Linked DNA regions of Saccharomyces cerevisiae S288C. The protein of the gene in region 3 interacts with the protein of the main gene of each other region in a biochemical or structural test. Each region holds a gene or a part of one and is shown on either strand. Other genes may lie near its edges. The genes, in order: GAL4, RPN1, RPT6 and UFD4.

Evidence for each region.
Region 1: the proteins of RPT6 (region 3) and GAL4 form a complex in vitro, tested with the Saccharomyces cerevisiae proteins (2 studies listed by BioGRID).
Region 2: the proteins of RPT6 (region 3) and RPN1 form a complex in vitro, tested with the Saccharomyces cerevisiae proteins (2 studies listed by BioGRID).
Region 4: the proteins of RPT6 (region 3) and UFD4 form a complex in vitro, tested with the Saccharomyces cerevisiae proteins (2 studies listed by BioGRID).

What each region holds. Positions count from the first base shown.
Region 1 is NC_001148.4:76,507-84,317, reverse strand, and holds GAL4 (galactose-responsive transcription factor GAL4), read left to right. Parts: upstream 1-1,961; coding exon 1,962-4,607; downstream 4,608-7,811. Other genes in the region: YPL247C (uncharacterized protein), read left to right, coding at 122-1,693; GTPase-activating protein GYP5, read left to right, coding at 4,965-7,649. UniProt on the Saccharomyces cerevisiae protein: This protein is a positive regulator for the gene expression of the galactose-induced genes such as GAL1, GAL2, GAL7, GAL10, and MEL1 which code for the enzymes used to convert galactose to glucose.
Region 2 is NC_001140.6:161,230-166,702, reverse strand, and holds RPN1 (proteasome regulatory particle base subunit RPN1), read left to right. Parts: upstream 1-1,991; coding exon 1,992-4,973; downstream 4,974-5,473. Other genes in the region: DAP2 (dipeptidyl aminopeptidase), read left to right, coding at 1-1,725; VMA16 (H(+)-transporting V0 sector ATPase subunit c''), read right to left, coding at 5,218-5,473.
Region 3 is NC_001139.9:408,091-414,070, forward strand, and holds RPT6 (proteasome regulatory particle base subunit RPT6), read right to left. Parts: upstream 3,197-5,980; coding exon 1,979-3,196; downstream 1-1,978. Other genes in the region: TIF4632 (translation initiation factor eIF4G), read right to left, coding at 1-1,514; N-acetylglucosaminyldiphosphodolichol N-acetylglucosaminyltransferase catalytic subunit ALG13, read left to right, coding at 3,462-4,070. UniProt on the Saccharomyces cerevisiae protein: The 26S proteasome is involved in the ATP-dependent degradation of ubiquitinated proteins. The regulatory (or ATPase) complex confers ATP dependency and substrate specificity to the 26S complex.
Region 4 is NC_001143.9:418,220-427,570, forward strand, and holds UFD4 (putative ubiquitin-protein ligase UFD4), read right to left. Parts: upstream 7,657-9,351; coding exon 3,205-7,656; downstream 1-3,204. Other genes in the region: snoRNA-splicing protein PRP40, read left to right, coding at 91-1,842; CCE1 (cruciform cutting endonuclease), read right to left, coding at 1,936-2,997; ribosome assembly factor MRT4, read left to right, coding at 8,023-8,733; sphingosine N-acyltransferase LAC1, read right to left, coding at 9,076-9,351. UniProt on the Saccharomyces cerevisiae protein: E3 ubiquitin-protein ligase which accepts ubiquitin from an E2 ubiquitin-conjugating enzyme in the form of a thioester and then directly transfers the ubiquitin to targeted substrates.

The DNA.
Region 1 (7,811 bases), on a different chromosome or scaffold from region 3:
GAAATCTTGTATAAATAATTTAGTAATCAGTTCTTTAGGTTTTCGAGAGTGGCATACAACCTAAAGGGTCAACAGACAACAAGAAGGAAAGGAATTATAGGAGCAAATACACGCCCTTCAAATGGATCCCTTTCACAATGGCAATAAAAGGAGCTCAATATCGTTTGGCTCATCGCAGCGGCAGCCATATAACAAGAACAATTACTTGAGTGGTACTAATGGGCCTTCCTCGGCGGCACAAGATCAAGGTAGAGGCCCATCTCCCTTTGGAATGTCTGGCAACACTACCAATGGCGGTAACAGCAAAAGGAATAGTGGCTGTGACCTAAGTGCCACGTACTATGCAAGTCGATCGCCGATGTATTCACCGTTAGATTTCTCGCCACCAGTTTTTTCACCAAATCATTCTCAGTTACAGCAGGCGAGGGGCTATGCTGCAAATATTCCGGTTGTAAGCAATCTGATGAACCCTTCCATGGCCTCCGTGTGCGAATATCAATCACACTATCCACTCTTTGGGCTCGATTGGAGCGCCGACGACTACGTCTGCTTGGGTTCGTACAAAGAGGACAGCAGAAATAAGTTGCAGGTTCTGCACTCTAATGATCTACTGAGCTGGGAAAGCGTAGTGGACGCAGATGTGGTTTATCCTGTGAGCAAAATCCAATGGGTCCCCTCTCAATTGTATCCAAGGAAACTCGCGACGTGTTCTGACTCCTTACGGATTTGGAGCGTTAGCCCTGAGGAAAGACAGTTCCAAGAACAAATAAATCTATCTCTGTGTAAATACAATAGACAGCACCCCGCCAATCCCGCGGCCGCAGATGACATGAAGGTCATAGGCACTTTCCCACCAATAACATCATTTGACTGGAACACGGTCGATACTAACTTGATAATCTCAAGTTCCATCGACACCACATGCATTGTATGGGATCTGCAAAGCAGTCACTACGTTAAGACCCAATTGATCGCTCACGACAGCGAAGTTTTTGATGTAAGGTTTTTGACAAAATCGACCCAATTATTTGCTAGTTGTGGTGGGGACGGTAGTGTACGAGTATTTGATTTAAGATCGCTTGCGCACAGTACAATTATTTACGAGCCTCCCTCTTCCTCAGTGTCTGGAGCCACTGCGGGTACTATAACACCGTCGTCGAAAGGTTCGGACGCCTTATTGAGGCTGGAGCCATCACCGTATGACCCAAATGTGTTGGCCACTTTTGCAGCTGACTCGAACAAAATCATTATTCTAGATATGAGGAACCCAGAATCCCCTATACTAAACTTACAAGGCCACGGTTCTTCGGTAAACGGGATTAAATGGCATCCCACAAAGCGCAATGTTTTGCTCTCGTGCGGAGATGACTGCCAGGTGCTCTATTGGGACTTGAACAGCTCCTTTATGGAAATTAACGCTGCAGGTAGCAAATCCCCCAGTATTCATGGAACTTCCTTGGAGGACCCTGACGGCGACACAGAGATGACAGACGGTGGCGCAGGATCCGGTTTAAACGAGGATCCCTTAAGTTTAAACAACAACAGCAAGCAGGTGTGCAAGACACTAGAGACTCCTAACATGATGTATGCCAATAAAACACAAGAGATAAACAACATTGCATGGAGGCCCCAGAGGGGCGATTGGTTTGGGTGCGTGAGCGGCAAGAAGTTTCAAAACGTCCGCGTCCTTTGAGACAGCATTCGCCCAGTATTTTTTTTATTCTACAAACCTTCTATAATTTCAAAGTATTTACATAATTCTGTATCAGTTTAATCACCATAATATCGTTTTCTTTGTTTAGTGCAATTAATTTTTCCTATTGTTACTTCGGGCCTTTTTCTGTTTTATGAGCTATTTTTTCCGTCATCCTTCCCCAGATTTTCAGCTTCATCTCCAGATTGTGTCTACGTAATGCACGCCATCATTTTAAGAGAGGACAGAGAAGCAAGCCTCCTGAAAGATGAAGCTACTGTCTTCTATCGAACAAGCATGCGATATTTGCCGACTTAAAAAGCTCAAGTGCTCCAAAGAAAAACCGAAGTGCGCCAAGTGTCTGAAGAACAACTGGGAGTGTCGCTACTCTCCCAAAACCAAAAGGTCTCCGCTGACTAGGGCACATCTGACAGAAGTGGAATCAAGGCTAGAAAGACTGGAACAGCTATTTCTACTGATTTTTCCTCGAGAAGACCTTGACATGATTTTGAAAATGGATTCTTTACAGGATATAAAAGCATTGTTAACAGGATTATTTGTACAAGATAATGTGAATAAAGATGCCGTCACAGATAGATTGGCTTCAGTGGAGACTGATATGCCTCTAACATTGAGACAGCATAGAATAAGTGCGACATCATCATCGGAAGAGAGTAGTAACAAAGGTCAAAGACAGTTGACTGTATCGATTGACTCGGCAGCTCATCATGATAACTCCACAATTCCGTTGGATTTTATGCCCAGGGATGCTCTTCATGGATTTGATTGGTCTGAAGAGGATGACATGTCGGATGGCTTGCCCTTCCTGAAAACGGACCCCAACAATAATGGGTTCTTTGGCGACGGTTCTCTCTTATGTATTCTTCGATCTATTGGCTTTAAACCGGAAAATTACACGAACTCTAACGTTAACAGGCTCCCGACCATGATTACGGATAGATACACGTTGGCTTCTAGATCCACAACATCCCGTTTACTTCAAAGTTATCTCAATAATTTTCACCCCTACTGCCCTATCGTGCACTCACCGACGCTAATGATGTTGTATAATAACCAGATTGAAATCGCGTCGAAGGATCAATGGCAAATCCTTTTTAACTGCATATTAGCCATTGGAGCCTGGTGTATAGAGGGGGAATCTACTGATATAGATGTTTTTTACTATCAAAATGCTAAATCTCATTTGACGAGCAAGGTCTTCGAGTCAGGTTCCATAATTTTGGTGACAGCCCTACATCTTCTGTCGCGATATACACAGTGGAGGCAGAAAACAAATACTAGCTATAATTTTCACAGCTTTTCCATAAGAATGGCCATATCATTGGGCTTGAATAGGGACCTCCCCTCGTCCTTCAGTGATAGCAGCATTCTGGAACAAAGACGCCGAATTTGGTGGTCTGTCTACTCTTGGGAGATCCAATTGTCCCTGCTTTATGGTCGATCCATCCAGCTTTCTCAGAATACAATCTCCTTCCCTTCTTCTGTCGACGATGTGCAGCGTACCACAACAGGTCCCACCATATATCATGGCATCATTGAAACAGCAAGGCTCTTACAAGTTTTCACAAAAATCTATGAACTAGACAAAACAGTAACTGCAGAAAAAAGTCCTATATGTGCAAAAAAATGCTTGATGATTTGTAATGAGATTGAGGAGGTTTCGAGACAGGCACCAAAGTTTTTACAAATGGATATTTCCACCACCGCTCTAACCAATTTGTTGAAGGAACACCCTTGGCTATCCTTTACAAGATTCGAACTGAAGTGGAAACAGTTGTCTCTTATCATTTATGTATTAAGAGATTTTTTCACTAATTTTACCCAGAAAAAGTCACAACTAGAACAGGATCAAAATGATCATCAAAGTTATGAAGTTAAACGATGCTCCATCATGTTAAGCGATGCAGCACAAAGAACTGTTATGTCTGTAAGTAGCTATATGGACAATCATAATGTCACCCCATATTTTGCCTGGAATTGTTCTTATTACTTGTTCAATGCAGTCCTAGTACCCATAAAGACTCTACTCTCAAACTCAAAATCGAATGCTGAGAATAACGAGACCGCACAATTATTACAACAAATTAACACTGTTCTGATGCTATTAAAAAAACTGGCCACTTTTAAAATCCAGACTTGTGAAAAATACATTCAAGTACTGGAAGAGGTATGTGCGCCGTTTCTGTTATCACAGTGTGCAATCCCATTACCGCATATCAGTTATAACAATAGTAATGGTAGCGCCATTAAAAATATTGTCGGTTCTGCAACTATCGCCCAATACCCTACTCTTCCGGAGGAAAATGTCAACAATATCAGTGTTAAATATGTTTCTCCTGGCTCAGTAGGGCCTTCACCTGTGCCATTGAAATCAGGAGCAAGTTTCAGTGATCTAGTCAAGCTGTTATCTAACCGTCCACCCTCTCGTAACTCTCCAGTGACAATACCAAGAAGCACACCTTCGCATCGCTCAGTCACGCCTTTTCTAGGGCAACAGCAACAGCTGCAATCATTAGTGCCACTGACCCCGTCTGCTTTGTTTGGTGGCGCCAATTTTAATCAAAGTGGGAATATTGCTGATAGCTCATTGTCCTTCACTTTCACTAACAGTAGCAACGGTCCGAACCTCATAACAACTCAAACAAATTCTCAAGCGCTTTCACAACCAATTGCCTCCTCTAACGTTCATGATAACTTCATGAATAATGAAATCACGGCTAGTAAAATTGATGATGGTAATAATTCAAAACCACTGTCACCTGGTTGGACGGACCAAACTGCGTATAACGCGTTTGGAATCACTACAGGGATGTTTAATACCACTACAATGGATGATGTATATAACTATCTATTCGATGATGAAGATACCCCACCAAACCCAAAAAAAGAGTAAAATGAATCGTAGATACTGAAAAACCCCGCAAGTTCACTTCAACTGTGCATCGTGCACCATCTCAATTTCTTTCATTTATACATCGTTTTGCCTTCTTTTATGTAACTATACTCCTCTAAGTTTCAATCTTGGCCATGTAACCTCTGATCTATAGAATTTTTTAAATGACTAGAATTAATGCCCATCTTTTTTTTGGACCTAAATTCTTCATGAAAATATATTACGAGGGCTTATTCAGAAGCTTCGCTCATATAACGAAAAAAAAGGGTTTGGATCGAACGTAATTGAGATTGATTAGTTAATACTCAAAATAAAACAGCTCCTACCACCAGTGTAAAGTAGAACGTTAATAGAGCAATGTCTTCAGACAAATCTATTGAGAAAAATACAGATACGATCGCCTCTGAAGTTCACGAAGGTGATAATCATTCGAATAATTTGGGTTCAATGGAGGAAGAGATAAAATCAACGCCATCAGACCAATATGAAGAGATAGCTATAATTCCAACTGAGCCCCTCCATTCGGACAAAGAACTAAATGACAAGCAACAAAGTTTAGGCCATGAAGCACCCACAAATGTATCAAGAGAAGAACCTATTGGGATCTCTGGTGATGAAGACACCCAAATCACTGAACAAAACGTTAATGAACAAAGGCAAGAAACGAGAGAACCTAGTTCTGAAATTGATTTAAATGAGCCATTGGATGTTGAAAAAGATGTGACAACGGATGTGCAAGCCCCAAATGGGCTGAATATTGAAAAAGAATATGATGCAGTCAAAGAGAATGAGAAGGTTTACGCTGATACGAAAGAGGTTGTTAGTAGTCCAGAAAATAGGGAAGTAACTGGAAAAAATTCTGGAGGTGAGAAATCATCCTCGAGTAAATTTCTCGATGACGAATCTGGTACTACGACAGCTGCAAATGCGAACGACATTTCTATAAGTAGTGAAGTAACCCCAGAAAGGTCGTCAGAAAATGATAATAACCAGATTCATATTACCAATGAGGTAGCCGCAGGAATAAACTTGAATGAAAACAAGGAACAAAAAGCTGCTATAGAAGATGGGCCCGTAACAGCAGAGAATCTTTCCTCAGAAACTGCTAGGAAAGTACCACCTATACCCACACAAATCATAAATGAAAAAGGTGATAACTCAAGCGAGAACGAGGTTTCCGCAATTCCCACTACATCTTCGCCACCATTACCACCTAGACAAAATGTTGCGACATCAACGTCACCAAAATTACCTCCAAGGGGCAAACAAAGGGAACAACCACCGAAGACGAAGAATGCTGTTCCACCGCCACTAGAGGAAGAAATGAAGTCAGAGAAGTTCCGTAAAAACTTCGAAGAAACTAAAAGAAATAGTTATCATCATGTTCCTCTCACTGGTTCCAAAACTGCGCAATTAGAGTCCACTGCAGAAATTAATTTGATCGCTAGTCGTTACCGCAAGACCAGTCACCATTTGAATAAAGAGGGGGAAGAAACTAGAGAGTCGTTGCAGGAAGGTCAAAGCTTTTTAAAATCGACATTTACGTCATTTCTGGAGAACTTGTCCGAGTATAACGAAGTGGAGAATGTTAATGAAGAAGATAGAGAAATGTTTAAAATTGATTGGTCCTTCTGGACTCAAGTAGTTAATGATTATGCTACAGTGGCAAGCAACGAACCAGAAAATTTAGAAGCCCATGTTACCAATGGGATACCACCACAAATTCGAGGTATCATTTGGCAGCTGATGGCGAATTCCAAATCAAGAGAAATGGAAGATATATATGAAACTCTATTGGATACCGAATGTCTTCATGAAGCAACAATACGTAGAGATTTAAGGAGAACGAAGTTTGTGGCCGAGGACAAAATGGAGTCACTATACAAGGTAATAAAGGTGTATTCTGTTTATGATCCAGATGTTGGGTACACGCAAGGCATGGGGTTCATTGCAGCGCCGCTATTAATAAACTGTGAAAACGAGGCCGAATCTTTTGGACTACTCGTTGGATTAATGAAGAATTATGGATTAAGAGAGCTTTTCTTACCAGGAATGCCTGGGCTGATGTTAATGCTTTATCAATTTGATAGATTATTAGAGGAGCATTCACCTTCTTTGTACAATCGCTTGATCCGTGAGGGAATTAGCTCCACAATGTACGCTACACAATGGTTTTTGACATTTTTCGCATACAAGTTTCCGTTAGAGTTTGTGTTAAGAATTTTTGATATTGTATTCGTAGAGGGTATTGAAGTGCTTTTGAAGTTTGCTGTAAATTTAATGTTAAAGAATGAAGAAACTTTAGTAAAATTGAGATTCGATGAACTATTGGATTTTTTAAAGGACGAACTCTTCAATTACTATTTAATGGGAAACCAGGATGACGCTTCTGTAGTGCAAATGGGATTGTCAAATGGGAACTCATTTAAGGGCAATGATGACGGCACTTTTTCCTACAATGTCGATCTTTTCGTTCATGATGCAATGACAGGTGTATATATCACACCATTAACATTAAGAAGATACAGGGGAGAGTACGTAGAAATCCATGAAAAAGAGCAAAAAAAAGAGGACCACTACGAATCACTAAGAATTCAAAACCACCAACTACAAAGAGAGGCGCAGAAGCTAGAACACGACTATTCAATTTTGAACAAAGAGAATATCAGCGCCGCTAACGAGCTGATTCAGAACAGATTGAATATGGAGATGCTGTTGGATGAAAAAAACGACCTGATAAATACAATCACTGATATCAAAAGCCAAATTGAGGAAGAGATTCGCAAGCAAAATTTACCGAACCCGGACGCGTCACTACCAAAGGCAGATCTGAGAGAAGACTTGGAAAGGACCATATCCAGGAACAATGAGGTGATGAGGGAGAACGGCCAATTAGAGGAAAGAATCACTGAACTGCAAGCGGAAATCGATGAGTTGATTAACATCAATAAGGAGCAAGTGTCCACGGCATCGTTATTGGAACGAGATTCTAAGGCTAAAGGGAGGAAAGGCTGGACTGGTTTTAAAAAAGTTTTTAAATAGATGTATAGTTTTGCGCTGTGTGCACATTGTGTGCCTCTCCAATTTGTGTTAAAAAATGCATCACGACTCGTTTAGACAATGTTGTTGTTGTTGTTTTTTTTTTGACTGTATTTTCACCCGTACATCCACGGATGTGTTGGGTTTTTGTTTCCGCTTTACCGT
Region 2 (5,473 bases), on a different chromosome or scaffold from region 3:
TTTGAAGACGACAAGGCTGCGTGGTGGTCACCAACTGGTGATTACCTGGCATTCTTGAAAATTGATGAATCAGAAGTTGGTGAGTTTATCATTCCATATTATGTCCAAGATGAAAAGGATATATACCCCGAAATGCGCAGTATCAAGTATCCAAAAAGTGGCACGCCAAATCCTCATGCAGAGCTATGGGTTTACAGTATGAAAGATGGAACATCGTTCCATCCAAGAATAAGTGGAAATAAAAAAGATGGAAGTCTGTTAATTACTGAAGTTACATGGGTAGGAAATGGAAACGTTTTAGTTAAAACTACCGATCGATCCTCGGACATATTGACTGTGTTTTTGATAGATACAATTGCAAAGACTTCAAACGTGGTAAGGAACGAAAGTTCTAACGGAGGATGGTGGGAGATTACTCATAATACTCTGTTTATTCCGGCAAATGAAACATTTGATAGGCCTCATAATGGTTATGTTGATATTCTTCCGATTGGTGGTTACAATCATTTGGCTTATTTCGAAAATAGTAATAGTTCACACTATAAAACATTGACAGAGGGGAAATGGGAAGTGGTGAATGGCCCACTTGCCTTTGATTCAATGGAAAATCGTCTTTACTTCATTTCTACACGAAAGAGTTCAACCGAACGCCACGTTTACTACATAGATTTACGGTCACCAAATGAAATTATTGAAGTTACTGATACTTCTGAGGATGGTGTCTATGATGTGTCCTTTTCTTCTGGTAGAAGGTTTGGTTTACTCACCTATAAAGGACCAAAAGTTCCATATCAAAAAATTGTGGACTTCCATTCTCGTAAAGCAGAAAAATGCGACAAAGGTAATGTTTTAGGCAAATCACTATACCATTTGGAAAAGAACGAAGTACTTACCAAAATTTTAGAAGATTATGCGGTACCCAGAAAATCATTCAGGGAATTGAACCTAGGAAAGGACGAATTTGGAAAGGATATACTAGTGAACTCGTATGAAATCCTACCAAATGATTTCGATGAAACGTTAAGTGACCACTATCCTGTATTTTTCTTTGCATATGGGGGACCGAATTCTCAACAAGTTGTCAAAACGTTTTCCGTAGGATTTAATGAAGTGGTAGCTTCACAATTAAACGCAATTGTAGTTGTTGTTGACGGTCGTGGTACTGGCTTCAAAGGTCAAGACTTTAGATCCCTTGTTCGCGATAGGCTCGGTGATTACGAGGCCCGCGACCAAATATCTGCGGCTTCCTTATATGGTTCTTTAACTTTTGTTGATCCGCAAAAGATTTCCTTATTTGGTTGGTCATACGGGGGGTACCTGACACTAAAAACTTTGGAGAAAGATGGCGGAAGACATTTCAAATACGGGATGTCAGTTGCGCCAGTAACCGACTGGAGATTTTACGATTCTGTTTATACTGAGAGGTACATGCATACTCCTCAAGAAAACTTTGATGGATACGTAGAATCAAGCGTTCATAATGTCACTGCTTTGGCACAAGCAAATAGATTTTTGTTGATGCACGGAACAGGAGATGATAACGTTCACTTTCAAAATTCCCTAAAGTTTCTGGACCTTTTGGATCTAAATGGTGTGGAAAATTATGACGTCCACGTCTTTCCTGACTCAGATCATAGTATAAGATACCATAATGCGAATGTAATCGTTTTTGACAAGCTATTGGATTGGGCAAAGCGTGCTTTCGATGGGCAATTTGTCAAATGAGTTGACTATTTACAGCTCATCTCATAGAGACATTCATAAAACATTTTCATATTTACATACTATGTATATATAAAATTGGTAATATAACAGATTAATGTTCGTAGAAGATGATGTGTTTTACGGTGGCAAAAGGCGAGCACGAAATTTGGCAAAGGGTATAAGTAATTAAGCAAATTTGGTCAAATCTATAATTCTTCACTAACAAACTTGCCCATTGGTCTACATAAGGTGCGATTCGTATAAATTTGGAAGACAATTGCAAGAAAATGGTAGACGAAAGTGATAAGAAACAACAGACTATTGATGAACAATCGCAGATAAGTCCTGAAAAGCAGACACCAAATAAGAAGGATAAAAAAAAGGAGGAAGAGGAGCAGCTATCCGAAGAAGATGCAAAGCTTAAAACAGATTTAGAGCTATTGGTTGAAAGGCTGAAAGAAGACGATTCATCTTTATATGAAGCGTCTTTGAATGCCTTAAAGGAATCGATCAAAAATTCTACGAGTTCTATGACCGCCGTTCCCAAACCTTTGAAATTCCTTCGTCCGACATATCCAGACCTATGTTCTATCTACGACAAATGGACAGATCCAAACTTGAAATCCTCTTTAGCGGATGTCTTGTCCATTTTAGCCATGACATACTCTGAAAATGGTAAACACGATTCATTGAGATATAGATTACTCTCCGACGTTTCTGATTTTGAAGGGTGGGGACATGAGTACATCCGTCATTTAGCTTTGGAGATCGGTGAAGTATATAATGATCAAGTGGAAAAAGATGCTGAAGATGAAACATCATCTGATGGATCTAAAAGCGATGGATCTGCGGCTACTTCCGGGTTCGAATTTTCCAAGGAAGATACTCTTCGTCTATGTTTAGACATTGTCCCATACTTTTTGAAACACAACGGTGAAGAAGACGCGGTAGATTTGCTTTTGGAAATTGAATCTATTGACAAGCTACCTCAATTTGTCGATGAGAATACCTTCCAAAGAGTTTGTCAATATATGGTTGCATGTGTTCCACTTTTGCCACCTCCTGAAGACGTTGCCTTTTTAAAAACCGCATATTCTATTTATCTATCTCAGAACGAACTTACAGATGCAATTGCTTTGGCAGTTAGACTAGGGGAAGAGGATATGATCAGATCCGTTTTCGATGCTACTAGCGATCCAGTGATGCATAAACAATTAGCATATATTTTAGCCGCACAAAAGACATCGTTTGAGTATGAAGGTGTTCAGGATATAATTGGAAATGGTAAATTGTCTGAACACTTTTTATATCTTGCTAAAGAATTGAATCTAACTGGGCCAAAAGTCCCAGAAGACATTTATAAGAGCCATTTGGATAACTCTAAATCTGTGTTCTCAAGCGCCGGCCTAGATTCTGCTCAACAAAATCTAGCTTCGTCATTTGTCAACGGGTTCTTAAACTTAGGTTATTGTAACGATAAATTAATTGTGGATAATGATAATTGGGTATATAAAACCAAAGGTGACGGTATGACTTCCGCGGTAGCTAGTATTGGATCTATATACCAGTGGAATCTCGATGGTTTGCAACAACTGGATAAGTATCTCTACGTTGATGAGCCAGAAGTTAAAGCTGGTGCATTATTAGGTATTGGTATTTCCGCTTCCGGTGTGCATGATGGTGAAGTTGAACCAGCTTTGTTACTTTTGCAAGATTATGTTACTAACCCAGACACTAAAATTAGTTCAGCAGCTATTCTTGGCCTGGGTATTGCATTTGCTGGTAGCAAGAATGACGAAGTGTTGGGTTTGTTATTACCAATTGCCGCATCCACTGACTTGCCTATTGAAACTGCAGCTATGGCTTCCTTAGCTTTGGCTCATGTTTTCGTTGGTACTTGTAATGGTGACATTACAACTTCTATCATGGACAACTTTTTAGAGCGTACAGCCATCGAGTTGAAGACCGACTGGGTAAGGTTTTTGGCACTTGCTTTAGGTATTCTATACATGGGCCAAGGTGAACAGGTGGATGATGTTTTAGAAACTATTAGTGCTATTGAACATCCAATGACATCAGCTATTGAAGTATTAGTTGGTTCATGTGCTTATACTGGTACGGGTGATGTTTTGTTAATTCAAGATTTGTTACATCGTTTGACCCCTAAAAACGTAAAAGGTGAAGAAGATGCAGATGAAGAAGAAACTGCCGAAGGACAGACTAATAGCATAAGTGACTTTTTGGGTGAGCAAGTGAATGAACCTACCAAGAACGAGGAAGCTGAGATCGAAGTGGACGAAATGGAGGTTGATGCCGAAGGAGAGGAAGTTGAAGTTAAAGCAGAAATAACAGAGAAGAAGAATGGTGAGAGTTTAGAAGGTGAAGAGATAAAATCCGAAGAAAAGAAGGGAAAATCTTCCGATAAGGATGCTACTACGGACGGGAAAAATGATGATGAGGAGGAAGAAAAAGAAGCAGGCATAGTCGATGAACTTGCTTATGCAGTTTTGGGTATTGCTTTGATTGCCCTTGGTGAAGATATTGGCAAGGAAATGTCTTTACGTCATTTTGGTCATTTAATGCATTATGGTAATGAACACATCCGTCGTATGGTTCCTTTAGCGATGGGTATTGTTTCCGTTTCTGATCCACAAATGAAGGTGTTCGATACCTTAACTCGTTTTTCACATGACGCCGATTTAGAAGTTTCAATGAATTCAATTTTCGCTATGGGTCTATGTGGTGCTGGTACTAACAATGCAAGGTTAGCTCAACTATTAAGACAGTTGGCAAGTTATTATTCACGTGAACAAGACGCTTTGTTTATCACCAGATTAGCACAAGGGTTATTGCATCTTGGTAAAGGTACTATGACAATGGATGTGTTCAATGATGCACATGTTTTGAATAAGGTGACATTAGCATCAATATTAACTACCGCAGTTGGTTTAGTATCGCCAAGTTTCATGTTGAAGCATCATCAATTGTTCTACATGTTGAATGCCGGTATAAGGCCAAAGTTTATTCTAGCATTAAACGATGAGGGAGAGCCAATAAAGGTTAATGTGCGCGTTGGTCAAGCAGTGGAAACTGTCGGCCAAGCAGGCAGACCAAAAAAGATTACTGGCTGGATTACGCAATCCACTCCTGTTTTACTAAATCATGGCGAAAGAGCAGAACTAGAAACTGATGAATATATTAGTTACACAAGCCATATTGAGGGCGTAGTAATTTTAAAGAAGAACCCTGACTATCGTGAAGAGGAGTAAACTGAATAGCTTTTGGGCAATATCAACCAGAATAGGAAAAATTCAAAACCATTTTAAATAAATATATATTTATATAGTTGTACATTTTTTTCTCTTACTTAATATAATATGATTTTTAGATAATAAAAGAAAACGTGCATATATACATACACATGTATCTCAGATATCTCATTATATCTATTAGTAAATATGGATGCGCTTATCTAGCTCGTAAAAACGGAAAAGAAAAGCCTGGTTTGAGCGCTTACTGAAATTCAGAAGCTTTACCGGCCATCAATAAACCAACAATCAAACCTAATAAACCTAAAATGGACCCGAAAATTTCAATGACCAAAATTTTAACAAACAATGCGGAATCAGCAGCATCGGAAATGGCAGCAGTCGCACCGGTGATACCGACAGCGATACCACAAATCAAATTGGAAGCACCGACAGTGATACCTGCCCAGAAAAGAGAATAACCAGTGTACAGGTTTGATTTCGAGTACATGTTCTCAGCA
Region 3 (5,980 bases):
CTATTAGATCTTCTGTCGTCACCCATTCTCTTTGATCTTCTTTTCGATGAAACTCTTGAACTGGAAGTATGGTCCATACCGCGCATAGATGGACTTCTGAAATCGCCTCCAAATCTGCCACTATCTTTTGGTTTATTTCTGGCTATATGAGGAGGTATAACAATTTTCGAGGATACAGCTTCAACCCACGCAGGATCAGGCCTGAATTTTAGTTTATCTTTGAATTGCAGTAAGAAGGTAGGGCCATAAGTGTACTTAACGCTTGGTTTCTTGTATTTGATATCAGGCCTTTCAACATTTTCCGGATAGGCAAACTCATATATGTCAGAAATTGGTTGAGCCTTACCTAAAGTTTCAAGTAGTTGAGATACAGTTGGCATCTCAATATCGGAAGTGGAAGGTTCTGTCTCCTTCACTGTGTTCTCCTCTGTGGTGATTACGGAATTTATTGTTTCGTCGTCACTTTTATTTACAGTTTTTCCACCAGTCGTATCCGAAATTTCAGTAGTATCATCATCTTTAACAAGCTCATCAACATCCTGAGAACTGCTCTCATTCTCGGGTTCGTTAAAAGTCACGGATTTAGTTACACTTCCAGTTACATGTTGTGGAGTTTTGACACTTGCCCCTGATTTTCCATCAATCACAACTTCATTAGCTTCTCCCGTTGGTTTCGGCGCTTCCTTAATAGGTTCAGATTCAATAACCGAGTTGGGCTTAGTTGTATCAGTATTATCATGATTTGAAGTTTCTTGCTTCTTCTCAGTTTCGGAGATTAAACCGTTTTTCTTTCTTTCCATGGCAGCTTTGCGCAATCTCACCTGCTCTAAAAATAATCTCTTAGTATTTTCCGCTTCAGAGGTAGATTTTTCATTAGATGTTTCGGTTAACGTATCTTTAACTGCTTCATTAGCAGGTAGTACAGGAGTTGCCTCCTTTTCAAAAGGGGTTCCTGATTTAGATTTCTGCTCTACCCCATCATTCTTCTCTTCACCTTTCGAAGCTTTCTTTTCTTCGTGGAATTTTTTCAAATTTAAACGTTCACCAGTTTTCGTAGTGATTTCTATTTTTGTAGTTTTAGGTGTAGAGGGAGGTTCGGGATTAGTGTTGAGTGGTTGGTGTGTATATGGTGGAGAAGCAACTGGAACCATTTGTTGGGGTATATAATACATCTGAGGAGCATAGTAGTTAGCTGGCCATTGCATACCTGGCAACATTGCCGGGTTATAGTCGTTGTTATTCAGTCTGTAGCCATTATTGAATCTGTTATTGTAGTACTGTGCATTTCCTTGACTATTATTACGATTATTGTATTTATTTGTCCCGTATTTGCCATTTTTCGACTGGTATTGCTTGTTATTGTGAGGTTCCCTTGCACTGTAAAGATTTTCATTGTAGTGGTTATTTGGCTGACTATTATTGGCTCCAGAGTATTGGTTATCATGAGGAGGAAATTTCTTGTAGCCATTGGCTTGCTGCGGGTGTGGGGGCGGTGGACCTCTTTGGTCAGTCATAGTGCCTACAATTGATCTATTGTTCTTTGTAATAAATTCTTTCTTTCAGGAACAGTAAAAACAGCCTAAAAATATGAAGTCGCCGTAGTAAACGTTATCTTCTAGTTACTATCAACACAGACGCCTTTTTAAATTCGAGGGTCAAGGCTGCTAGGCTGAGTGGTCGTTTGCTGTGTTTACCTCTAATCAAAAACTTATTATCTTTTTTTTTTCAGTCCTTTTTGCAAAGCAGGTACCTACTATTTTTCAAAATACACTAAAGGAACGGGCCCCCCGGCTTACTATTAATAAGGTCAGGACGGGGAAAAAGCAGCAATGCTCTGCCCCTCTGTTCTCGAAAAGACAAACGGTTGTTATATCCTGTATATCCAGCGGTATAATTTTGCCTCTTAGTTAATGCTAAACTATGATATTATACACATACACTAAGTAACATATACAATGAGCCAAGTGAAACGAATACATCACTTGAACAGCTTGGCGACAGAAATGGCCGTTTCTTGGTTCTTGTTCATAACCTTACCCACAGCGAGTTCGAAGTCTTCTTGAGTAACGTGTATTCTTCTTTCTCTTAAAGCATACATACCAGCTTCTGTACAGACACCTTTGACATCGGCACCAGAACAACCGTTCATCTTTTCAGCAACCTTTCTCAAGTTGATACCACGAGTTAGATTCATTTTTCTGGAATGGATTCTTAAAATTTCAGCTCTAGCTGCGACACTTGGAGGTGGAAATTCAATCTTCCTATCTATTCTACCGGGTCTCAAAAGTGCTGGATCTAGAATATCTAGTCTATTCGTGGCCATTATGATCTTGATATTTTTAGAAGTTTCAAACCCGTCCAATTGGTTTAGTAGTTCTAACATTGTTCTTTGAACTTCTGAATCACCACCACCAGAACCTTCTACACGAGTAGAGCCAATGGAATCGATTTCATCCATAAAGATAATTGAGGGAGCATGTTCTCTAGCCATCACAAACAGCTCACGGACCATACGGGAACCTTCGCCGATATACTTTTGTACCAGTTCCGCACCACTGACCCTGATGAATTTACAATCAGTGTGATGTGCGACAGCTCTTGCCAATAAGGTTTTCCCTGTACCAGGGGGGCCATATAAGATGACACCCTTTGGTTGCGCAATACCCAAACTTTCAAAAAGTTCAGGATGTTTTACGGGCAATTCAATAACTTCTTTAATCTCCTTTATTTGCTTTGTCAAACCACCAACCATATCGTATGTGGAATCAGGAACTTTTTCCACCATCATCAACGAAACTAGTGGGTCAGCCTTATTCTCAAGAACTTTATGCAACATATAAGAGTCACTCCTTAGACAAACTCTTTGAGATGCCTTTAAGTCCTTCACGTTTATATCTTTTGCAACATCCACGATGTATTTTCCCTCAGGTTGCACTTTAACGAGAACTTTTTTGTCAGACACGATCTTTATAACTTCACCCACATAAGATCCAGGTTCCTGTAATAGACGCAGTTCGTCCTTGATAAAACGTACTTTGTCATTCAATGCATTCCTTTGAGCTTCCAGTCTGCGAACATTTTCTGTTTTGGAGCGGATCTTTAATTCTGTTTCTTGGATCTTCTGTTCAAAATATGGTTTGATACCACTTTCGTGGGTTTCTAATACTATATTGGAGGATGTTACAGCAGCTGTCATTGTCGTGATAGTATCCCACTATACTGTTGTTCCGTTTACATAAAACCTAACCTAACTGTTACTGATATTACAACTTTTGCCACCTCGCTCGCATTTTGACAGTTTTAAAATACGAAAATTTCCGAACAAGAATAAGGGTAGAGAAGTATGCAAAATATGATTTCATATTAAAAAACCCAACCGAAGAAAAAGGGAAATAGAAAAACAAGTTTTCAGTCGCAAAAAGAGGTTAAACAAACGAGTCAGAAGCCAGCTCTTTCAAACAATGGGTATTATTGAAGAAAAGGCTCTTTTTGTTACGTGTGGGGCAACGGTGCCATTTCCAAAGCTCGTCTCATGTGTGCTAAGCGACGAATTCTGCCAAGAATTGATTCAATATGGATTCGTACGTCTAATCATTCAGTTTGGGAGAAACTACAGTTCTGAATTTGAGCATTTAGTGCAAGAACGCGGGGGCCAAAGAGAAAGCCAAAAAATTCCAATTGACCAGTTTGGCTGTGGCGACACCGCAAGACAGTATGTCCTGATGAACGGGAAATTAAAGGTGATCGGGTTTGACTTTTCGACCAAGATGCAAAGTATTATACGTGATTATTCAGATTTGGTCATATCACACGCTGGAACGGGCTCTATACTAGATTCTCTACGGTTGAATAAACCGTTGATAGTTTGCGTAAACGATTCTTTGATGGATAACCACCAGCAGCAGATAGCAGACAAGTTTGTAGAGTTGGGCTACGTATGGTCTTGTGCACCCACTGAAACAGGTTTGATAGCTGGTTTACGTGCATCTCAAACAGAGAAACTCAAACCATTCCCAGTTTCTCATAACCCGTCATTTGAGCGATTGCTAGTTGAAACTATATACAGCTAGTTAGTAAGATTTTAAAAGACGAAAAGAACGGAAAGTAGGACAACTACCAAAAAAAAAGATGGAAGGTTTCTTTGGTTAGTTAGCAGTATCCGCGTAATGCCTTAGACGTTTTTGATCAGAAAAAAATAAAACTTGATTTCGCCCAGGATCGAACTGGGGACGTTCTGCGTGTTAAGCAGATGCCATAACCGACTAGACCACGAAACCAGTTTTTTGATGTTTCGTTTAGGGACAAGAGTCCTATGAGAGTCCACTAAAATTCTAAAAATAATTGTATCAACAACCGTCATGCAGCTGTTGTATCAAGAATCGACCACCATCTATAGACTATTGTTCATAGCTGTATTACAATATCATATAAGATGTAAGGATAGAACGTGAAGATCGAGAAACAGTCAGCAGATTTAATGGAAGCTGAAATGCACGGATTGATAATGTAATAGAATAAGTGACAACATAAGAAATGAAAGAAAAAAAATAACATTAATATAATTTAGAAATGTTAGTTTCCTTCTATGAACTCTCGTATCCCTGGGGAGGACTTTCAATATATTCAGTATACCTACCGTTCAAATGATACTCTAAAATATCATCTATTAAGTGGTATTCAGGTTTTTCCCACGCAAGATTGAGTGCGTCAGGCAAAGCCACGATCGCAGATTACTCTCCTAACAATATTAAGATCGTCAAGAACATCCGGTTTTACTCAAGCGCTTAATACAACACGTCGGCTTTCGCTCAACTGCAGTATATTGTGTCTGTAACCTCTCCCGTCAAGTTTGCGCCACGGGCCCAATAACCAACTTCTGCGCCATTGTTACGGAAAAGTGGCCATCTTTGCTATGCTCGTAAGGCTAGCGCTCTCTAAGTACGCCAGCCCAAAAACTCCGTATCGCTCTTCATCGGAATTGCTATATCTACAGCCGACGGGCACTCTATGTATACTCATATCACAGCCACTGTTGCACTACATTATTCGCAGGGACTCCGAGATCGCTGAGCATGTTGCTAAGCAACTTACCAAGGTTGGAATGCATTATATAGTCCGATATAGACCCCGCTCGGACTATATTATATAAATTCAAATAGCACTTTCAACGAGTGTCTTAATCCGTCCTAGTTCCTGCTCTCGCTCCACGTTGTCATCCCACCCATTCGCACGGGTCTTCTGTGCGAATGAGCCACAACGGGGCCGAGTTCAGCGCGTGTCCGCCTACAACGTCCGCCAACTAGTGGCAATTGCTAGGCTACGCCGACCACGCTGACACGCACCGTTCTACTCGCTCTATGCTGCGGTGTGACGTGTGAACGCGCGATCGTTCGCAATCGTATCGTTTGCCAAGAAAAAAAGCCAATCGGAGAATCTGAAAATCGCTATTCGGCTTGCAGGTCGCACGCACTCAGAGTACGAAATGCCAAGTACCGGAATTTCCTTGGCCTTTTTTAAGTTTCTTCTCTTCTATTCTTTTTCCCCTTTCTTTCTTCCTTTGCTATCTGTCTGGTTTAAATAAACATAGTATTTTTTTGTGTCTAAGCCTCTTCCTCTTCTCTCGTACTTGCTCTACTACCACTTTACTTAATCGCCTTTCTTTGTTTTCTTTCTTCGTTATTTGTTCTTGGACTTTTCCGCTCCAATCCCAACGATTGGCTTCAAAACACGTTCTACTGTCTAGCAATTTCTGCAGGTGCCATTTTTCTTAGGCTTATACCCTTTCCTTTTCCCCTTACATTTGATTTCTTCTTCAAAGTTCCTTATAGTATTATTGTCTAAGCTCTATTGAGTCAAAAGTAACAATCTAGACGAAGAAAAAAAAAAAATAGAAAATAGACATCCCCGAATACGCATCATCTCACGCACGTACAAGATTTTAACGTTAAAGCCAAAGTACGCTAGTATAGTATCATCAGCA
Region 4 (9,351 bases), on a different chromosome or scaffold from region 3:
CGCAATAGCGTGCCTACCTATCAGGATAACAAGGTCTGAAGCCAGATCGACCACTAGACAAGCATTGCCGGAGGTGGGAGACGTGAAACTATGTCTATTTGGAAGGAAGCTAAAGATGCAAGTGGAAGGATATATTATTACAATACTTTGACAAAGAAATCTACGTGGGAGAAGCCCAAGGAACTAATTTCTCAGGAGGAGCTACTTCTTCGAGAAAATGGCTGGAAGGCGGCCAAGACGGCAGACGGCAAAGTATACTATTATAATCCAACAACAAGAGAAACCAGCTGGACTATTCCGGCCTTCGAGAAGAAAGTAGAACCCATCGCAGAACAAAAACATGATACAGTATCCCATGCACAGGTTAATGGAAATAGAATAGCCCTTACGGCTGGAGAAAAACAAGAGCCGGGACGAACTATAAACGAGGAGGAAAGCCAATATGCTAATAACTCTAAACTGCTTAATGTCAGGAGAAGGACTAAAGAAGAAGCAGAGAAGGAATTTATTACCATGCTGAAGGAAAATCAAGTAGACTCTACTTGGTCATTCAGTAGAATTATTTCAGAACTGGGGACCAGAGATCCAAGGTATTGGATGGTCGATGATGACCCCTTATGGAAGAAAGAAATGTTTGAGAAATATCTTTCCAATAGATCAGCCGATCAACTTCTTAAGGAACACAATGAAACAAGCAAATTCAAAGAAGCCTTTCAGAAAATGTTGCAAAACAATTCTCATATAAAATATTACACCCGTTGGCCTACCGCAAAGAGACTAATTGCCGACGAACCAATATACAAACACTCCGTGGTCAATGAAAAGACAAAGAGACAGACCTTTCAAGATTATATAGATACCCTCATCGACACTCAGAAAGAATCAAAAAAAAAATTGAAAACACAGGCCCTAAAAGAACTAAGAGAGTATTTAAACGGTATTATAACAACATCATCCTCTGAAACTTTCATAACCTGGCAGCAGCTTTTAAATCACTATGTTTTTGATAAGAGTAAGAGATATATGGCGAACCGGCACTTCAAAGTCTTAACCCACGAAGATGTTTTAAACGAGTATCTGAAAATAGTAAATACGATTGAAAACGATCTTCAAAACAAACTAAATGAGCTCCGACTGCGCAATTATACCAGAGACCGTATTGCTAGAGATAACTTTAAAAGCTTATTAAGAGAAGTGCCAATCAAAATCAAAGCAAATACTAGATGGTCAGATATTTATCCTCATATAAAGTCTGATCCGCGCTTTTTACATATGCTTGGAAGGAATGGCTCGTCCTGCCTTGATTTATTTTTAGATTTTGTTGATGAACAAAGGATGTACATCTTTGCACAAAGATCAATAGCCCAACAGACGTTGATAGATCAAAATTTTGAATGGAATGATGCCGATAGCGACGAGATCACCAAGCAAAACATAGAAAAAGTTCTGGAAAATGACCGGAAATTTGACAAGGTGGATAAAGAAGACATCAGTTTGATTGTTGATGGTTTGATAAAGCAAAGAAACGAAAAGATACAACAGAAACTCCAAAATGAGCGTAGGATATTGGAGCAAAAGAAGCACTATTTTTGGTTACTTTTGCAAAGGACATATACAAAAACCGGTAAGCCCAAGCCTAGTACGTGGGATTTAGCTTCCAAAGAGCTTGGCGAATCTCTTGAATACAAGGCACTAGGCGATGAAGATAACATAAGAAGACAAATTTTCGAGGATTTTAAGCCTGAAAGCTCTGCACCGACTGCCGAAAGCGCTACTGCAAACTTAACGTTGACCGCGTCAAAAAAGAGGCATTTAACTCCGGCTGTGGAATTGGACTATTGATTCTGACGTGTCGACCTCTATCTTGTTAATCATTATATAAATTATACATAGAGATTACATGTTATTTCAAGTTTGCGATCACCGCACAATTTCTTAGTCATTGTTGTAAGTGTTCTGCAAAAATTTCAGCTTTTGTACCTTATTTTCACAAAATTCAAACACCTGTCCGAACTGTGTTTTAACCAGTGTTTTTGAATTCAAGAGTTCAGTAATACTTTCATAATTTTTTAACCACTCCATCCAAGACAAACAATGGAGGAATGAATCTGCCAAATCGTCATCTTTTCTCACCCCCGAATTATCTTGGATCTCTAGTATATCACATAGCTTGAAACTTTTTTTTTTGGTAAGGGCATTTCTTATCCTATTATTCCAAACTCCTATGAACTCGACCAGTTTTGTAGAACTAGTTGAATTACCTTCTAGTATTGAGGTTGAAAGTATTTTTTTCACTAGCTTTATTCGAGAATCTTTGCTATGTTTGTTAGATTTTAACTTTTTTGAACTGGTCGGTGTCTCTTCTCTTGGAATGCACCAATATGAAGTCATCCGATGTGGATCGGACGAACATACCATATACCTCAACTTGGACGTATTCGGTATTTTATTCGTATACTTCATTTTATTTTCCAAGTTAGAGAAAAGAATCTGTTCGAGAATATTCACTTTTAAAATTGGGTCTAAAATATGCCTCGAAGACATAGTTCTGGTACGTTGCCTTTCAATTGTAAACATATCTGGTATCGGCATAGATTCAAATAAATACTCCGTAAGGTTAAATACAAGCTCAGAAGTTTCAGCAGGATTCAAGCTTAACTTTTTGAGGTTTTGAAAAAATTTCTCCTCTAGATTTATCTTTTGCCAGTCTAGTACTTTAGGGAGCGGATCATTATTGAGCAATTGCATCTTAGAGAAAGCAAAGTTAGAAACACCAGCATCCATAGACAATATGTTAATTCTTCCCTCTCTTATCTTTTGTTGTCGTAACTTCTCCAAAAATTCACACTGTTCTTGAATGTAGGTTCTTTTAGCTTCTTTCGTCGTGCCATTTACTGCTCCAATAACAAATGATAAAGATTTCAGTTGTGTGCTTTTTGCATTTTGGCAGCAGGAATCGATGAGTTGCAATATCTTAGCTTTCTGTGCTGTCGACATATTACTATCTTTTTTAGCTTTAGACTGTATAACCGTAAGCCTTCGTTGTATGCAATGGATAAACAAATATGGAATCGCCAGTTGAAACAAAAAAATGAGAAAAGTACGGATAATCCGAAGAAATTTAGTCTGATTCCATCCATTTTTTGTATCTTAAGAAATAATTTTGAAGTCATATAAAACTTAAATAGAAAAAGTAACTAAAATTTAGGAAAGTAGAAAAGCTCCTGCACCCTCTTCAATGGCTTGACAAAGACGAGACCGCATAATATCTTTGCTAGTATACTTCGGCAATTTCAAATAATTAGCACATGTCATTACACTTGGTAGATATTCGTCTGCTGTTAGGCCATCTTCAGCATGCTTTAACACAACTGTAAACTTTGGGTTCAAACTTTTAAATCCCCCAATTGGAAGCTTGGGAGATCCCGTTAAAAATTGCAAAAATAATCTTCTTTCATGCTTACCAAACGCGGATATTATTGATATAAAATCATGAATGATTGAAGAATCCATTGTATAGCCATGTTCAGCGTTCAAGTTTGTGTATAAAGTTGCCATAGACCAGTCTTCCTCAACTCGTCCGAAAATATCCACTAATTCATCCGGAAAAAGTATTAGCATCCTCTCATAGGAAAACACCTTTGAAAAACCTTCAATAAATGCTTTTAACTGTTTTTCAATGCCCTTACCTAATATTTGGTCGATAACGCCATGGATATATTCTTCAACATTAGAAGAGTTCAAGGATTTATTACAACCCCCCGGAATCAACTCAATGTCATCATTTCCAGGAACGGTAAATGTCAAGGACAACGATTCTAGGGTCATATTGTCATCCTTATTCGCTACTATGTATTTAAGGGATTTTGCGAGTAACGGATCTACCAATTCGATCATTAACAGACAGGTTTCAACGTCGCTCGGCACTGTCGTCACATTGGGCGTAGACATTCTGTGCAATAACTCAAAAAAGACTTTGCTAAATCTAAAGTCAAGAATTCTATTATCAAGCAACGATCTGGCAACAAATGTCCCCAAATATCCAAAAAGTTCAATAACTTTTTCATTATTGGAAAACGGGTTGAGGGGCTCTGGGAACAATAAAGTGGTAATATAATCGTCAGTAGTATCAACATCCATTTCGCTTCTGTAACTATAAGAGTTACAACGCCACATATTTAACGACTTTCTTGCAAAATACTTGGAAACTACGGAGTAAAATTCCAAAGTCGGTCCTAAACCTGTTCCTGCTTCTTCTTGATATTCAATTTCCAGTACGTCAGGGCTACTTCCGTACTTGGATAAAATCTTGAGACCGGTAGCGAATATTGTTTTTCTTGAAATCCGCAGCTTACGCCTAGTAATTCTCCCAAGTTGTTGTAAAGCTTCGTCATTCCTTAAATCTTTCGAGCCTTTACTCTTATTCTTCCAAAGTTGAATCAATCTTCCGTAACCAAATGAAGTACATTGTAGGAAAAGCATCCTGGTATCAAACGGAAACAAAAATGGGAATCTCCTGGTCAAAAATAGTGACCAATCCGGCAAAGCTCCACTTGCTACTACCAATGGTTCATCTAGTTGTCTAGCGAGCTTAGCGCTTAGTTTTGAGTTGATAAAACTGTCGCTTTTAACACCGCAGCTATGTAGAAAATCCAGCAATGTCAGAATATCCGCTGAAGATCCAGTATCAACCTGTGCGAATTCTCTTTTTTTATAAAAATCTCTTAACTTTTTCCCCTCATTAGCTTCCTCGGCTGCCTCACTCTCTCTATTGTTACCTTCTAAACTTTTGCAAAATTTGATTGTATGTGTATCATCCCATAAAGTTTTTAAGTCACGATTTCGCCTGACGAATGTATTAAATATCACACCAAATACTGTAGACTCCATGTCAACTTTTTCATTATCATAAAAAAAGTCAAAGTTCTTTTTTCTCATATGATCCAAGCAATTTTCTTCTTCTTCCCTATCAGCTTCGGTACTGGAAGATGTAAGGTTTGGGATTAATGAATTCAAAAAACGCATTCTTACCATTCTGTGTCTCAAAAACTCATTAAGTGAGGTAAAAGAAGCTATGCAATGGACCGAAACGATAGTAGATGATAAATCAGTACCAATATTATCTTTGCTTGCATCGCCATCATAAACCAACTTAATTTTTATCTCTTTAGCCAGTGAAGATACACCACCACCATCGTGTAAACCGCAATCAACTATAGAGAAATTCTCCAGCCTTGTGAGAGCAGATTGTAGGATTTCTAAAAATCTGTCAATACAATCCTCAAATACCTCTAAAAATGATTTAGCAAGAATGAAATGGGATACCGTTGAGGATGTAATTCTTTTAGTTATGGAGGAAGCTAGCCCTGTAGAAGTAAATTCGAAACCTGACACGTCGAAATCTTCATGGAAAATACATTTTTTTAAAACAGACCAAATTCCCTTCCAATCCTCTTCAGTTTTGTCCGGAGTGGAAGGATTTTCTAAAATAGAAACAACGCCTTCGATTTGATGGAGCTCCTCTGTTATTGCTTCTTGCTCAACGTTCATCTGAGAAAGTACTCTATTAACTAGGTTCACACCCTTGTTTTTAATATAAGCTAGAGATAGAGTTCTGAAAATGTGTATTGAAATTTTCTTTGGTTTTACTGAATCAGGAATTTCCATATCAGTAAATTCGTAATCATATTCTTCATCACCCTCATCACATTCCTCAATACTGCTATGCAAATCCCCTTCTTCGTCAGAAAGTGAAATATTTTCATTCCCGTCTTCCTTTAAATCAATGTTATTGAAATCCACAGACAAATCCTTAACCAAATCAAAAATGCCCTCTCTTTTGATGGAAGGAAAGAACAGTTCGGAAAACTTTTTACAAATTAAGTCAAGCAACGAGAGACCACCAACCAACAGTGTACCAGCTTCTGATGAGTAAGTACCATTAGCGTTAGACGCTGTTTCTTTTTGGGCCAGGATAGATCCGATTAACTTAATAAGTTGATCATTGATTGCCTTTGCTGTGGAATTATTTATGCATGATACAACCCTCAGTAAAGCAATAAGTACGTATCTTCTTACGTCAAAGTCAGCAGCATTTGTATAAATTTCAACGAGAATTGGAATTAGACATTGAACTAGGGAATCAAACTTTTCCTGGTTAGAAATTACGCCACGGTCGCTATTTCCGGTATATTTATCCGCTGACAGTATTCTTTCATCCTCGGGAGGAAACAATACAACTATAAATCTAGAAATGCTAATCAATAAACTGTTTGGGACATAAATCAGTGTTTCATGTAACCCTGCGTTAGGACTTTTACTATAATGCTGGAATGATCGTGTTGCCATGTCGACAATGTCAGTTTTCTCTCTCAGTTCTCTTGAAAGTACATCACTACTCATCGCTAATACGGTTAAAATATCCAAACATTTCAGTTTATTCTCCAAGGGGGTATCCTGAATAGAAACTAGCTGAACTATTCTTTCGATTAAATCCAACGAAAACAAAGTCTCAAATTTGTCAACCCCATGCAACGCCCCGCAAATACCGTACATGGCATTTACAAGCCTGGTTAATATTGGTTGGTCTGTCGCATTCGAGAAAATTGGCTTCAGCGTTGGAAGTACTTCAACAATGGTCTTAAAGTCATCCGTTCGGATACTGCTACAGGCGTTCGAAACAATTGCGATAGCCTTCCTCTGCGCATGTATAGTTAAAAAATCGAAGAATTGGACGTAGATTGATAATTGGCCCGTTTTTAAAATGTCTCTCCCATGTACTCTAGAAATATATTCCACCGTTTCTAAAACTTGTTCTGCGAGGTCAATGTAACTGATCTCTACCAATTTTCCTTGTAAAATTGGTATAACGTGTTCATCAACAGCTATTGAAATAGATTCAGGGCAGACCTCAAAAAGATTATACATGCATCTACAAGCTTGCATTTGTAATTCTAATTCTTCCCGTAAAATTTTATCAGAGAGTATGGCAGCTATATTACCTATTAAGGTTTCCATCGGTATAATTCTATCGACAACCATTTGATTCATCATTAATATGTTTTCAGAAAGTTCTTTTAAACTCTCCATTGCAATATAAGGATCCTCGGAGGCATTCCCAGTATTCTCTATCAATTTAGAAATCCGCTCATTCCTTGCCGAACTCTCTGCGCTCCTCTCCATCCTTCCTCCAATCATCGATAAAATCTCGGGTAGTGTTCTTCCAACCGGGTGTTGCCCAAGTCCTTCACTTGTTTGTCTTCTTTGTTCTAGTCTTTGTGCGAATGTTTCCAAAATGTCAGGTAAATGTAGGGGGTTGCTGCCAAATTCATTATTATCGTGAGAACGTTCAAGTCCATCTTCTTCTTCATTTCTGTCTTCGTCACTGCCATTCTGAGTTCTATGATATCCATATAAAAGTCCAGAATCATCTTCATGATGGTAATCGTTATCGTCATCTTCACCATCATCTGCCTCAAAACTTCCGACGCTAGAAAGCATATGTTCATCTTCATCTTCATCAGGATAATAAGAGTACTCACCCTGTACATGGCCATCCTCATCATAGTCATCTTCTACCTGCGTATCCATCATATAATCACTGTTTTCGCTATGGGACTCATGTTCATCAAGGTTGTGCGAATTATTTTCAGACATGCTTGGCTACTCTTCTATTTTAAATGTTTATCCAAAATTTTCACACCTGAGATATATTGTTGTTAATAAAGCACACAGAAAGGAAAGTATCGATCCCAGAAAGTGGTCTTTCCCTGGGTATGATCAAAGCTATTCCCCTTTCCAACTACTGTTGGCTATGATCCCACAATTTGATTTCAGTTCAGAAAACCCAACCATTAGGACTTTACCCGGCGAAGGTGAAAGAAAAAATTTTTTTCCAGAAAAATGCGATGAGCTTTTGAAAAGTTGCAAATATTTGTAGTACTTTGGCTAAGCAGAGCTGATTCCTTTTGCTATACGTACATCACTGTCTATCGTCCATAAAAGATTTATTATAGTTGAATCATGCCAAGATCAAAACGTTCCAAGCTAGTCACTTTAGCACAAACCGATAAAAAGGGCAGAGAAAATAAAGAAAGAATTTTCGATGAAGTGAGGGAAGCCTTAGATACTTATAGATACGTCTGGGTCCTACATCTTGACGACGTAAGAACTCCAGTTTTACAAGAAATCAGAACATCTTGGGCAGGCTCTAAGTTAATTATGGGTAAGAGGAAAGTTTTACAAAAAGCATTGGGAGAAAAGAGGGAAGAAGAATACAAAGAAAATCTGTATCAATTGAGTAAGCTTTGTAGCGGTGTCACTGGTTTATTGTTCACTGATGAGGATGTCAACACTGTCAAGGAATACTTTAAGTCATACGTTCGTTCAGACTATTCAAGACCGAACACGAAAGCACCACTAACATTTACAATTCCTGAGGGCATTGTCTACTCACGTGGTGGTCAAATTCCAGCTGAGGAAGATGTTCCAATGATTCATTCTTTAGAGCCAACTATGAGAAACAAATTTGAAATTCCAACTAAAATCAAAGCTGGTAAGATCACCATTGACAGTCCATATTTAGTTTGCACTGAAGGAGAAAAATTAGATGTTCGTCAAGCTTTAATACTGAAACAATTCGGTATCGCTGCTTCTGAATTCAAAGTCAAGGTGTCGGCCTACTATGACAACGATAGCTCCACTGTTGAAAGCACTAACATCAACATGGAATAAGCTGAACTATTATTTGGAAGCCTTTTTTAATAGACCATTGTATAAAAATTTCTTTTTTTTGTATAGATATACTAAAGCAACGCTCATAAATGTAACATAGCTTCTTTTCAACTGAGAATTTATATTCATGCTAACTAAGCGTAAATCACTTTTGATCTTCACAGCTCTTTAGCGGCACGAAAGCAAGAAAAAAAGATAACACTGTATGTCTGGAAAAGAATACTATAAAAATACCTGTTTACATAAACCAATAAGGAAGAACGTGAGAGCAGGACCGTAAAAGAATTAATGTGTAAAGAATTAATGTGTAATGGTTATACTACTTAAAAACACCGTTTTCCTTCAAATATCCTTTTTCGTTGGAGTACTGTCAGTTGGAGTAGTGGAACTTTCATCACTTTCTTCGTCTGATTCACTATCACTTCTGTCATCCTTGAGAATACCTCTCCATAGAATCCTGTAAAGAACTCTAAAAATAAGGAACAGCCAATAAAGATTCACTAATTGCAAAGCGCCTATCAATACAAAGACAATTGGTAAGGAAATCCAACATTTATATTGCTGAGTGGCAAAATTCAAGACATAGTTACCTTCCGTGCGAAATTGCGTTAAAACGGA